Macaca fascicularis: one gene and its partners. Each later gene encodes a partner of the first gene's protein in a complex. Links are inferred from orthologs where the notes say so. Each region holds a gene or a part of one and is shown in the gene's direction. Other genes may lie near its edges. The genes, in order: NCAPD3, NCAPG2 and NCAPH2.

Region 1 (3,643 bases):
ATCACTAATATATGGTGTCCCAAAAGTGTTAGTGTAGTTTTAAACTGTAATTTCTGAAGTTTATATGCTACAAACTTAACCAAAAATTCTTTTGAAAGTTTAATTATTTAAATATGTTATGTACATATTTATCTTTGTAATTTTGGATAATATATTTTTAATTTTGATATTTTGTTTCAGTCCCTTTGAAGATGGTAAACATTTAGCAATAGGAACCAGGCTAGTCTATTCCTCTTTTTGTAAGGCACCAAGAACTTACAAAAATCAAATAATTGATGTTTCCATTTCTCTGATGACTGGCTTTTGTGATTTGCCCTCTCCCCACAGAGTGTCTGGACCTTCTTCATTGAGAACAATGTTTCCCATAGTACACTGGTGGCATTGTTCTATCATTTTGTTCAAATAGTTCATAAGACAAATGTCAGTGTACAGTATCGAGAATATGGCCTTCACGCTGCTGGGCTTTACTTTTTGCTGCTAGAAGTACCAGGTATGTAGACCTGATATGATAGGATAAATCTTCTGTCACTTTTTTCTTTCTACATTTTTCAATTCTTATACTTTGTTTCTTGTTTCTTCACTTATAAACGGGGCAGTGCTAACCCATGGCAGAGAGTTGTTCTGAGGAGCAAGTCTGTAAAGTACATGGCATGTTGTAGGTCTTTGAAAACCTTCCCTTTTTTTTTTACATCCAAAATTATGCTATCTATAAACGAATAAAAATAATCTGAGGACCGCGAGAGCTCCACGCCCGCCCTCCGCCGTTGCCCTCCGCCATCGCCGTCTGAGGAGCACCGCAAGAGCTCCGCGCCCGCCCCCCACCCATCGCTGTCTGAGGACGACCCCGAGAGCTCCACGCCCTCCCCCCGCCATCGCCGTCTGAGGAGTACCGTGAGAGCTCCGCGGCCGCCCCCCCCAGCCCATCGCCGTCTGAGGAGCACCGCAAGAGCTCCGCGCCCGCCCCCCACCCATCGCTGTCTGAGGACGACCCCGAGAGCTCCGCGCCCTCCCCCCGCCATCGCCATCTGAGGAGCACCGCGAGAGCTCCGCGCCCGCCCCCCGCCATCGCTGTCTGAGGACGACCCCGAGAGCTCCACGCCCTCCCCCCGCCATCGCCGTCTGAGGAGCACCGCGAGAGCTCCGCGCCCGCCCCCCGCCATCGCCGTCTGAGGAGTACCGCGAGAGCTCCACGGCTGCCCCCCCACCCCGCGCCCATCGCCGTCTGAGGAGCACCGCGAGAGCTCCACGGCCGCCCCCCGCCATCGCCGTCTGAGGAGCACCGCGAGAGCTCCGCGCACTCCCCCCCGCCATCGCCATGTGAGGAGGACCGCGAGAGCTCCGCGCACTCCCCCCCGCCATCGCCGTCTGAGGAGCACCGCGAGAGCTCCGCGCCCGCCCCCCGCCATCGCCGTCTGAGGAGCACCGCGAGAGCTCCGCGCACTCTCCCCCGCCATCGCCGTCTGAGGAGCACCGCGAGAGCTCCGCGCACTCCCCCCCGCCATCGCCGTCTGAGGAGGACCGCGAGAGTTCCGCGCACTCCCCCCCGCCATCGCCATGTGAGGAGCACCGCGAGAGCTCCACGGCCGCCCCCCGCCATCGCCGTCTGAGGAGCACCGCGAGAGTTCCGCGCACTCCCCCCCGCCATCGCCATGTGAGGAGGACCGCGAGAGCTCCGCGCCTGCCCCCCGCCCCCCGCCCGTCGCCGTCTGAGGAGGACCCCGAGAGCTCCGCGCACTCCCCCCCGCCATCGCTGTCTGAGGAGCACCGCGAGAGCTCCGTGCCCACCCCCCGCCATCGCCGTCTGAGGAGCACCGCGAGAGCTCCGCGCCCGCCTCCCCCACGCCATCGCCGTCTGAGGAGCACCGCGAGAGCTCCGTGCCCGCCCTCCCCCCCGCCATCGCTGTTTGAGGAGCACCGCTAGAGCTCCGTGCCTGCCTTCCCCCCGCCATCGCCGTCTGAGGAGGACCGCGAGAGCTCCGTGCCTGCCCTCCGCCATAGCCGTCTGAGGAGCACCGCGAGAGCTCCGCGCCCGCCCTCTGCCATCGCCGTCTACAGTTCTAATACTGCCCTTTCTCCTCATGATTCCTTGTCTAGACTGAGAAATAACTGCTGTGAGGAGTCATTGTTTTTACCTCTCCGATGTTGGTGTTGAAAAATAGGTTAAAACCATTCTAATCAAGAAAGCAGGAAAGCAGCTAGTAATACGTGAAGGAGGGCACTGACCAGGAGTCTGTGTTCGAGCACTGTTTTACTTTATTGTCAGAGCACTGAGGAGGCCTTTCCTCCTGTGACGGTGAAATCCATTCTCTTCCCTACTCCAAACCCAAGGTGAGAGACAGTGGAACGTAGAGATTGAGTTCAGTAACCCAGAGTTCATATGGAAAAGAAAATGACAAGATCACTCACCTTGCTGCTTCTCTTTGTTTATATTAGCATTTGTAATTAATGCTCAGGGTGTATTCCATATGATCTGGGAGTGGGCAAAAAGGTATTATATTTAAAGCCTTGAACATTGGTTTGTGTTATTGTTAATGCTCCCATAATGACTTTGGAAATAAGTAAGTTCCTAAAGGATTTTGTTGCTAAGCAGTGTCTCAGTTGTAACCAGGCCCTTTCTCAAAAAAGTAGTGGTTTTAGAAACCCATTTCACTCTCATCTTGCCAGATGCAGTTTCTTCTGATTAAGATTGAGATTTATGCCAGAGCAAAGAGGTGGCTGTTACTAATTGTGTGGGCCACTTGCAGCTTTCCAGCAAGCCGTATTCTTGCAGTTCTGTTTTTAAATGTTTTGGGTTTATGATTGAGATGCTGTCAATACTTAATATTCGATCACGGTATATTTTTCTTTTTCAAGATCATTTTGGTTGTTCTGCCTCCCTTGCATTTCCATGTGAATTTTAGGATCTGCATGTGAATTTTTGCAACAACAAAAAAGCCAGCTGCGGTTTTGACAGGGATTGCATTGAAACTGTAGATGAGTTTGTGAAGTATTACCAATTTAACAACGTTAGGTCTTCTAATCTCTGGCTGTAGGATGTCTTTCCATTTATTGTCGATCTTCTTTAATTTGTTTCAATAATGCTCTCTAATTTTCGGGGCGCAACTCTTGCATCTCCTCTTTAAAATTTATTCTTAAGTATTATTTTCAGTGCTAGTGTAAATGAAATTGTTCCCTTAATTTTATTTTGGATTGTTTTATTAGTAGTGTATAGAAGCAAAATTGATTTTGATTATCTTGTATCCTAGAACCTTGCGAAACTCATCTGTTGATTCCAACAGGGTTTTCTTTGTGTAAGATCACGTCATCCGTGAATAGACACAGGTTTACTTCTTTCTTTCTAGTCTGGGTTCTTTCTATTTACTTTTCTTACTTATTTGCCCTGGCTAGAACCGCCAGTACAATGTTGAATAGAAGGGGAGCTTGGGGATCCTTGTCTATTCCTGATCTTAAGGGGAAAGCATCCAGTCTTGCCTTTAGATATGATGTTATCTGTGGGTTTCTCAGGATGGCCTTTGTTAAGTTATTATTCCTGTTTTACTGAGTGTTTCATTATGAAAGGCTGTTGGATTTTGTCATTTGCTTTTCTGCACTTGTGAAGTGATCATGTGGTTTTTGTTTCTTATTCTAATATAGTATATTACAT
Region 2 (3,743 bases), on another chromosome or scaffold:
AAACGATATTCCAACAAGTAATATAAATATTTTTGATACACTAGCCTAAATAAAACATATTTAAAAATCAATGTCACCTATTTATTTTTTTCTAATGTGGTCACTAGAAATTTACAATTGCACTGTGGCTCCCATGATGTTCCTACTGGGTGGTGCTGTGCTCCCACAGTGCAACGACTTCAATCTCGCCGAGACCTCTGGTTTGAGTTCAGCCAGGAAAACAGATACCACTCTAGACATCTCAAGCATGAAAGAACATAGCACCAGGGAAGGCCAAAACCTCACGAAGGGATGCAGAGCTCGGTGGTAAAGAGCACCATTTTCTAAGAATTTGCTTTCAACAAAAATTGGGAACGCCCAATGAAGTTATTCGCTGACACAAATTAAAAGAGATTGATAGATCAGTATGTGCCTTTGGCATTTAAGTCCAAAGAATTAAACGACATTGCTACTCCTCCTTCACACGGGTGCCTTCGAGGGTCCCCGCTAAGGCCTCTCCCTCTCCACCCTATGGGCAGCCTACCTGCCGGGGGTGGGGGGGTAGGAGTTCTGCGGGGGAAGCACCTGCCCAGGGCGCACCTACTGGGTGCAGGCCGGACAGGTGACCCCTTGGCAGGGAGGGCGGTCACGGTAGCCGGCCAGGCCGGGGTGGGGTCCTCCCGGGGATCCAGACACGGCCCTGTGGCCTCTCCCCGCCCCAAACCTTTCCTTCCTCTCCCCGTCTCTCCCTTCCTCTCCTTCCTCCTTCCCCCAACACCGCCCGCTCCCAGCGCCCCGCCCTCTCCTGGACCGCGCACTCCCTCCGCGGAGGCCCCAGGACGCGCACAAGCTCGCAGTGGACGTCGGCGCGCGCACCGTGCATGGGTTCCCCAGCTGTGGCGCCGCGCGTGCGCGTTCCGTGGTGCCCGGTAGGGCACTGGGCTAAGCGCCCAAGAGGCGGGGCATAGACAGGAGGAAGACCGGCGGGCATGTGGGCGGGGCATGATCTGGAGGCGGGGCGGAGCGGGCGTGTGGGTAGGGCCCGAGGATCGCGGCGCCCCAGCTCTCGCGAGAGCGGCGCTGGGTGACGACCGGGAGGGCGGGGCCCGTCTGGGGCGCCGGCGGGTGCGTTTGAATCTGGTCCGAGCGCGGGAAACGGCGGGTCCCCGAGCCCAGGTGAGAGCTGCGGTGCGGAGCCGGGATTGGGTTCAGAGCAGAGGCTGGGAGGTAGCAGGGATCGGGCGGAAGCCCCTCCTCGGCTGGTCGGGGTCCCGGCCTCCACTTCCCTAAGTGGGCTGCCGACCAGCGCGCGGGCAGTGCTGCGTCTGACGGGACCGGACGGAAGAGGCGACCCCGGGCCATCCCCCCTTCCCAGCTCAGCGACGCCCGTCCTTCCTGTCCGTGTCGGAGGAAAATCCCAGCCCCGGGCGCGGGCACTGCCCTCAGAGAGAGTCCCCTCAGCCTCAGGCGCGGGCACGCCCTCAGAGAACGAACCCCCAGCCCTGAGCATGGGCACTGCCCTCAGAGAGTGTCCCCTCCGTCCTGGGCATGGGCAGTGCCCTCAGAGAGTGTCCCCTCCGTCCTGGGCATGGGCACTGCCCTCAGAGAGGGTCCCCTCAGCCCCGGGTGCGGGCACTGTCCTCAGAGAGCGACCCCCCAGCCCTGAGCATGGGTACTGCCCTCAGAGAGTGTCCCCTCCGTCCTGGGCATGGACACTACCCTCAGAGAGAGTCCCCCTCAGTCCTGGGTGTCGGTACTGCCCTCAGAGAGAGTCCCCTCAGCCCCGGGCGCGGGCACGCTCTCAGAGAGTGACCCGCCAGCCCTGAGCATGGGCACTGCCCTCAGAGAGCGACCCCCCAGCCCTGAGCATTGGCACTGCCCTCAAGAGAGTGTCCCCTCAGTCCTGGGCCTAGGCACTGCCCTCAGAGAGTGAGCCTCTCCGTCCTGGGCGTGGACACTGCCCTCAGAGTGTCCCTTCATTCCTGGGCCTGGGCGCTGCCCTCAGAGAGTAAATCCCCTCAGTCCTGGGCCTGGGCACTGCCCTCAGAGAGCCACCCCCTCCGTCCTGGGCATGGACACTGCCCTCAGTGTCCCCTCAGTCCTGGGCCTGGGCACTGCCCTCAGAGAGTAAATCCCCTCAGTCCTGGGCCTGGGCACTGCCCTCAGAGAGCCACCCCCTCAGTCCTGGGCATGGGCAGTGCCCTCAGCGACCCCCTCAGTCCTGGGCATGGGCACTGCCCTCAGACAGTGTCCCCTTAGAGAGAGTCTCCCTGAGCCCTGGATGTAGGCACTTCCCTCAGAGAGTATCTCCCCAGCCATGGACATGGGCATTGTCCTCAGAGACATCAGTCTCCTGAACTCTTGTTGCTGGTTTGGTGCCTCTTGTTGTGTCAATGAGGAAGGAGTTTGGGGACAGAGTGGAAAGTCACGGGTAGTGACAAGGTTACAGGGATTTCTTCTTTTTAATGCTCATCTTGATTCAGTACCGGACCTTCTGTGCGAAGAGTAGCCTGCTCTTTGGACTGATAACTGGGTGGTGAGATGACTCCTTACCTTGAAAGTAGCATTCTGGCTGCAGGGCTGAGATCTTATGCACATATACTACAAGAAACATGGAATATTGCCACTTTGGGAGATAGATTGAAAAATTAACCATTAAAAAATTACAGTCACTAATATAAGAGGGAAAATGGGAAATACAGGAATAAGTTTGGTAGTCTGGAGGAAGTATATTACTGTAGGTTGGACTACAATGCCAAAGAGGTACACCTGGAAATAGAGCAAACAAGAAAAGTGACCAGAACTATGAAAAAGTGGAGAGTTCACAGACTTGCCAGGTGAAGATGTATGATTCCATGTGTTTGCTGCACCTTATTGGATTATTTTTCTAAAATCATGAATTTGTCCTAGCCACTATTCGTTATGCTTGTTGCTGGCCACTCTCCCTTCCCTCCCCCATTTTCTTTGTCAGTAAAATGTATGCGAGTCATGCTTCATTTAAAGAGGGAGAAACGTTGTGGTTAGGCAAGTTCATCATTGAATGAACATCACAGAGTGAACTTGCCTACACCTAGAGGGTGTAGCCTACTGCTGCTAGAATGTTACTGTACTGTAGGCAACTGTAACAATGGTAAGTATTTGCATCGCTAAACATATCTAAGTATAGAAAAGGCACAGTAAAAATATGGCATTATAATCTTATGGGACCACAGTCATATATGTGGTCTGTTGTTGACTGAAATGTTATGTGGTCCATGACTGTGGTTCATAGTTCAGCCATTTGAGTTGAGGAATGAGATGACCAGACTTCACTGTTAACTTATTTGGGGAGTCATTAAACTGAGGTTATTTTCTGCTTTGTTCGATTTAGACATTAAAATCTAGTATTATATGTTTAAGATAACTCTCTATCCCCATAATTATTGGCAGTAATTTTCCATATTGCTCTATTTATAATGGTGCAGGTGGTTTTCATTTATTTTTAAAGTCAGGGGACTCCTACTGCAAATATGTTCCATCATTTGCTATTACCTCATCTTTAGGTTGATGTCTTTTTAGTAGGGCACCAATAGCACCAGGTGTTGTGAATGTGAAATAGAATTTCCTGGAAAAACACAGACAGGATAGAAGGTGTACAAAGTCCCCTGAGCTCTCATTATCCCGAAGGGGTGGGAGGAGAGTGCTGTGGTTACGCATTTCTAAAGGATAGTCTAACAAGATCCCAGGTGACCCCCGCCCCCCTCCCCGGGGCCACTGTTCTCCAT
Region 3 (3,643 bases), on another chromosome or scaffold:
TCTACAAAAACTTTTTTTTTTTTTTTTGAGACGGAGTCTCGCTCAAAGCCGCCATACCGGCCTGTTTTGTTTTGTTTTGTTTTGTTTTGTTTTAGTGTCATTTGCTGAGAAGGAATACCAACGAGCCACAGCGTTGGGGAAGATCTTGGGTTAAGTATGGAAGTAAAGTGTTTGGGGACATTTGAATGTACCCGCCCAGGCTGGAGTGCAGTGGCACGATCTCCGCTTACTGCAAGCTCTGCCTCTTGGGTTCACGCCATTCTCCTCCCTCAGCCTCCCGGGTAGCTGGGACTACCCTGGCTAATTTTTTGTATTTTTAGTAGAGACAGGGTTTCACCGTGTTAGGATGGTCTCCATCTCCTGACCTCGTGATCTGCCCGCCTCAGCCTTCCAAAGTGCTGGGATTACAGGCCTGAGCCACTGTGCCCTGCCTTTTTTTTTTTTTTTTTTTTTTTTTTTTAGATGGAGTCTTGCTCTGTTGCTCAGGCTGGAGTGCAGTGGTGCGATCTCGGCTCACTGCAAGCTCTGCCTCTGGGGTTCACGCCATTCTCCTGCCTCAGCCTCTCGAGTAGCTGGGACTACAGGCGCCTGCCACCACGCCCGGCTAATTTTTTGTATTTTTAGTAGAGATGGGGTTTCACCGTGTTAGCCAGGATGGTCTCGATCTCGTGACCTCATGATCCGCCTGCCTTAGCCTCCTAAAGTACTGGGATTACAGGCTTGAGCCACCGCGCCTGGCCTTTTGTTTTTTCTAAGTGTCGTTTGCTGAGAAGGAATACAGATGAGCCAGCGTTGGGGAGGATCTTGGGTTAAGTATGGAAGTGAAGTGTTTGGGGACATTTGAATGTACTCTGCAGCCAGCTGTGAATGCAGCCCCAGAGTTGAGGAGAGAGCTGGTCAGGATGGGTTTGGGGCTCGTTGGCTCATGGTTGGCAGCTTGGGCATGGGATGAAGGAATGTGCATGGCGGGGGCTGCATGGGAAGAAGAGAGGCTGAGGATGGAATGCCTGGGACACTGACATTTAAGGGGTGACAGGAGCTGGGGCTCCGGGAGGCTGAGGGGGGCAGAGGAAGGATGATGACTAATCCGTAACTGTTTCCTGAGTTCTCTGCCCAAAGGATGGAAACCTCCGCATTTTGTCTCTGCTTTTCCTACCCCTGAGGTTTCCTTTTCTTCTCTGTGTCAGGGGTCTTCCTGCTGGAGCCTGTCAGCTTATGGCGCCTTGTGGAGGCGGCGCCTTGTGGAGTGAGCCGCTGTGCTGCCCTGGTTGTTTGCAGACAGTGTGCCCTGGGGGCCTTCCACTTCCAAAACAGGTTTTTGTTATAGGAAGTAGGAGGAAACACGGAGACCTGTCTATCCACCCAAATACCAGGGACAACCGGGGAGCCCATAGCAGAGCTCGCGCTACCCGTCTCAGGAGGTGCTGGGCAGAGACCAGTGATGGGTGGGGCTGCCCTGGAAGCAGCAAGTGCAGACTGGGCCTTGGATTCCCCCGCCCTTGTGTTGTTTCTTGCAGCTGGATCAGATCTGCATTTCTTTTGACGAAGGCAAGACCACAATGAACTTCATTGAGGCAGCGTTGTTGATCCAGGGCTCTGCCTGCGTCTACAGTAAGAAGGTGGGCCCTGCTTGACGCTGGTCTTGGCATTTCGGTGGCCAGTGGGACCGCAGTCAGTTCTTCTGGGGCAGGCGCAGTGGTCATCCCGTCTGTGACCTACCTCCCTCTCTCCTCAGGTCTCAGCCACTTCCTCGGCACCTTCCAACACCAAGAACTTTTTAATTTTAAATCGCACAACCAGGCAGGGAGGGTCTTGTGTGCTGTTGGGCTCTGTTGTCTTGGGGGAATGACACCTGCTGTGTGCACTTGGGCACAGTCCAGGGTGCCCCATGCACCCACCTTACCCTTCCCCATCCTCTACTTGTGGGTGCTTCATTGTCAGCACCTCGAAAATCCGCAGCCACTACCCTCATGGTTCTGCGGAGGAGGAGGACAGGAAGTGGGTGAAGGACTGTGTCCTGCAGGCCCCGTGGCGGCTGGAGCTGGGACGGGGCAGGGCCAGGACATGAGGAGGAGGAACTAGGGTGATGCTGGCAGGAGCACATGGGCGGAGGAGCAGCAGGACTACAGGCCATTGGCAGAGTGGGTGCCAAGCACGAGGGGCCTGGCCACCAAGGGCTGTGTGAGGCATACTGTGGGCACCACACTGCCGTCAAGGTCACCCGTTGAGAAGGCCATGCTTGGCGGCTGCGTGGAACATAGCAGGCAGGAGAGAGATGTGGGTGGCCTCAGCTGGTAAAGTAATTCTCATGAGATTCGTGGTTTGATTTGAGAATTATTTTTGGAACAAAAATTGGTGGTTTCTTGTACTGGAGGTTTGGTGGTAGTGGCCAGGCCTCGTGGAGGGCACCGCTGGGAAGGCCTTGGGGGTGGGCCCCTCCTTTCTGGGTCCTCACTGCCTGCGTCTGGTCACCAGGTGGAATACCTCTACTCGCTCGTCTACCAGGCCCTTGATTTCATCTCTGGAAAGAGGTGAGTTCCGGAGCCACTCACTGTGCTGCCCTGCATGTGGCCAGGGAGGCCCCCGCAGCTTCTGGGATGCCCATGGGATACTTTTCTCTCTCAGGCGGGCCAAGCAGCTCTCTTCGGTGCAGGAGGACAGGGCCAATGGGGATGCCAGCTCTGGGGCCCCCCAGGAGGCAGAGAATGAGGTGAGTTTCTTGGGCACGTGGCCCCCGCCCACTGTGTGTTTGCCTGGGCTCGGCCCCCATGAGCTCTGTCTCCCTCCAGTTCCTGTCGCTGGATGACTTCCCTGACTCCCGGACTAACGTGGATCTCAAGAACGATCAGGCGCCCAGCGTGAGTCCTGGCCTGGCCCCTCTTAGGTTGGGGCGAGCTCAGCACTTTCCCTGGGGCTGTGTTGAGCTGATCGGGTGTGGGAAGGTGTCGCTGCCCTGTGTGGGCTCTGTTCTCCACTGGAGTGGAAGGATGCCTGGCTCACCCAGCCTCGGCCTCCATGCAGGAGGTCCTCATCCTCCCCCTCCTGCCCATGGCCCTGGTGGCCCCTGATGAAGTGGAGAAGAACAACAGTCCCCTGTACAGGTAGGGTCTGAGCCCGGCGGCGGCGAGGGAGGAGGGAGGCCTGCCTGGGAAGGGTCTCTACAGCGGGCGTGTTCTCGCCGGCACAGCCGTCAGGGTGAGGTCCTGGCCAGCCGGAAGGATTTCAGGATGAACACGTGCGTTCCCCACCCCAGAGGGGCTTTCATGTTGGAGCCAGAGGGCATGTCCCCCGTGGAGCCAGCAGGCGCTTCCATGCCAAGGACCCAGAAGGGTGAGGGCTTGGATGCGGGGGCTTGGTGGGAAGGAAGGGAGGGAGGGTCTTCTGGGTGGACTCTTGTGGGGTGCCCTGTGCTTGCCACCTCTGGTCTTGGGAGCTCCCTCTCTCTGGGTGCCCGCTCCAGTCTAGACAGGTTGGCTGGTGCTCATCCCACCCGTCTGCTGTGCCTTGATTACAAGTTAACATGGTCTCAGTGCCAGGGACCTGGTGCCTGGCTCAGGGCCCTGCTGTGTTCCCCCAGCCCAAGGCCTGGAGTCTGCTGGACTCTGCCCTTCTGCTGGCCCCTTGGAGGGGCTTGTTGAACACC

Evidence for each region.
Region 2: the proteins of NCAPD3 (region 1) and NCAPG2 are in contact, whole or in part, in a cryo-EM structure (PDB 9F5W), measured with the Homo sapiens proteins. The link is inferred for Macaca fascicularis from reciprocal best matches to the Homo sapiens genes NCAPD3 and NCAPG2. Residues at the interface, in NP_056076.1 of Homo sapiens: Glu1213, Lys1216, Ile1217, Pro1218, Leu1220, Gln1247, Ser1250, Glu1251, Tyr1254, Lys1258; in NP_001268861.1 of Homo sapiens: Phe291, Lys332, Pro333, Ile334, Trp336, Lys340, Ala341, Arg342, Arg347.
Region 3: the proteins of NCAPD3 (region 1) and NCAPH2 are in contact, whole or in part, in a cryo-EM structure (PDB 9F5W), measured with the Homo sapiens proteins. The link is inferred for Macaca fascicularis from reciprocal best matches to the Homo sapiens genes NCAPD3 and NCAPH2. Residues at the interface, in NP_056076.1 of Homo sapiens: Arg589, Pro591, Met629, Glu680, Arg683, Tyr684, His690, Lys724, Glu793, Asp800, Gln803, Arg804, Arg807, Gln817, Leu820, Gln865, Leu866, Cys867, Pro868, Ala869, Arg870, Val871, Val918, Ile925, Lys929, Leu932, Gln933, His934, Ala956, Asn960; in NP_689512.2 of Homo sapiens: Trp22, Ser68, Lys69, Glu72, Tyr75, Tyr79, Leu82, Asp83, Ser86, Ile144, Ile145, Pro146, Leu147, Leu148, Met150, Ala151, Leu152, Val153, Asp156, Glu159, Asn161, Asn162, Asn163, Pro164, Leu165, Tyr166, Ser167, Arg168, Gly170, Leu173.

What each region holds. Positions count from the first base shown.
Region 1 is NC_088388.1:132,609,240-132,612,882, reverse strand, and holds part of NCAPD3 (condensin-2 complex subunit D3), read left to right. Parts: intron 1-327; coding exon 328-490; intron 491-2,216; exon of another isoform or gene 2,217-2,328; intron 2,329-3,643.
Region 2 is NC_088377.1:199,966,789-199,970,531, reverse strand, and holds the start of NCAPG2 (condensin-2 complex subunit G2), read left to right. Parts: upstream 1-1,049; 5' UTR 1,050-1,155; intron 1,156-3,743. UniProt on the Homo sapiens protein: Regulatory subunit of the condensin-2 complex, a complex which establishes mitotic chromosome architecture and is involved in physical rigidity of the chromatid axis.
Region 3 is NC_088384.1:1,047,099-1,050,741, reverse strand, and holds part of NCAPH2 (condensin-2 complex subunit H2), read left to right. Parts: intron 1-1,187; coding exon 1,188-1,314; exon of another isoform or gene 1,315-1,421; intron 1,422-1,517; coding exon 1,518-1,619; intron 1,620-2,475; coding exon 2,476-2,531; intron 2,532-2,625; coding exon 2,626-2,710; intron 2,711-2,789; coding exon 2,790-2,858; intron 2,859-3,021; coding exon 3,022-3,101; intron 3,102-3,187; coding exon 3,188-3,330; intron 3,331-3,643. UniProt on the Homo sapiens protein: Regulatory subunit of the condensin-2 complex, a complex that seems to provide chromosomes with an additional level of organization and rigidity and in establishing mitotic chromosome architecture.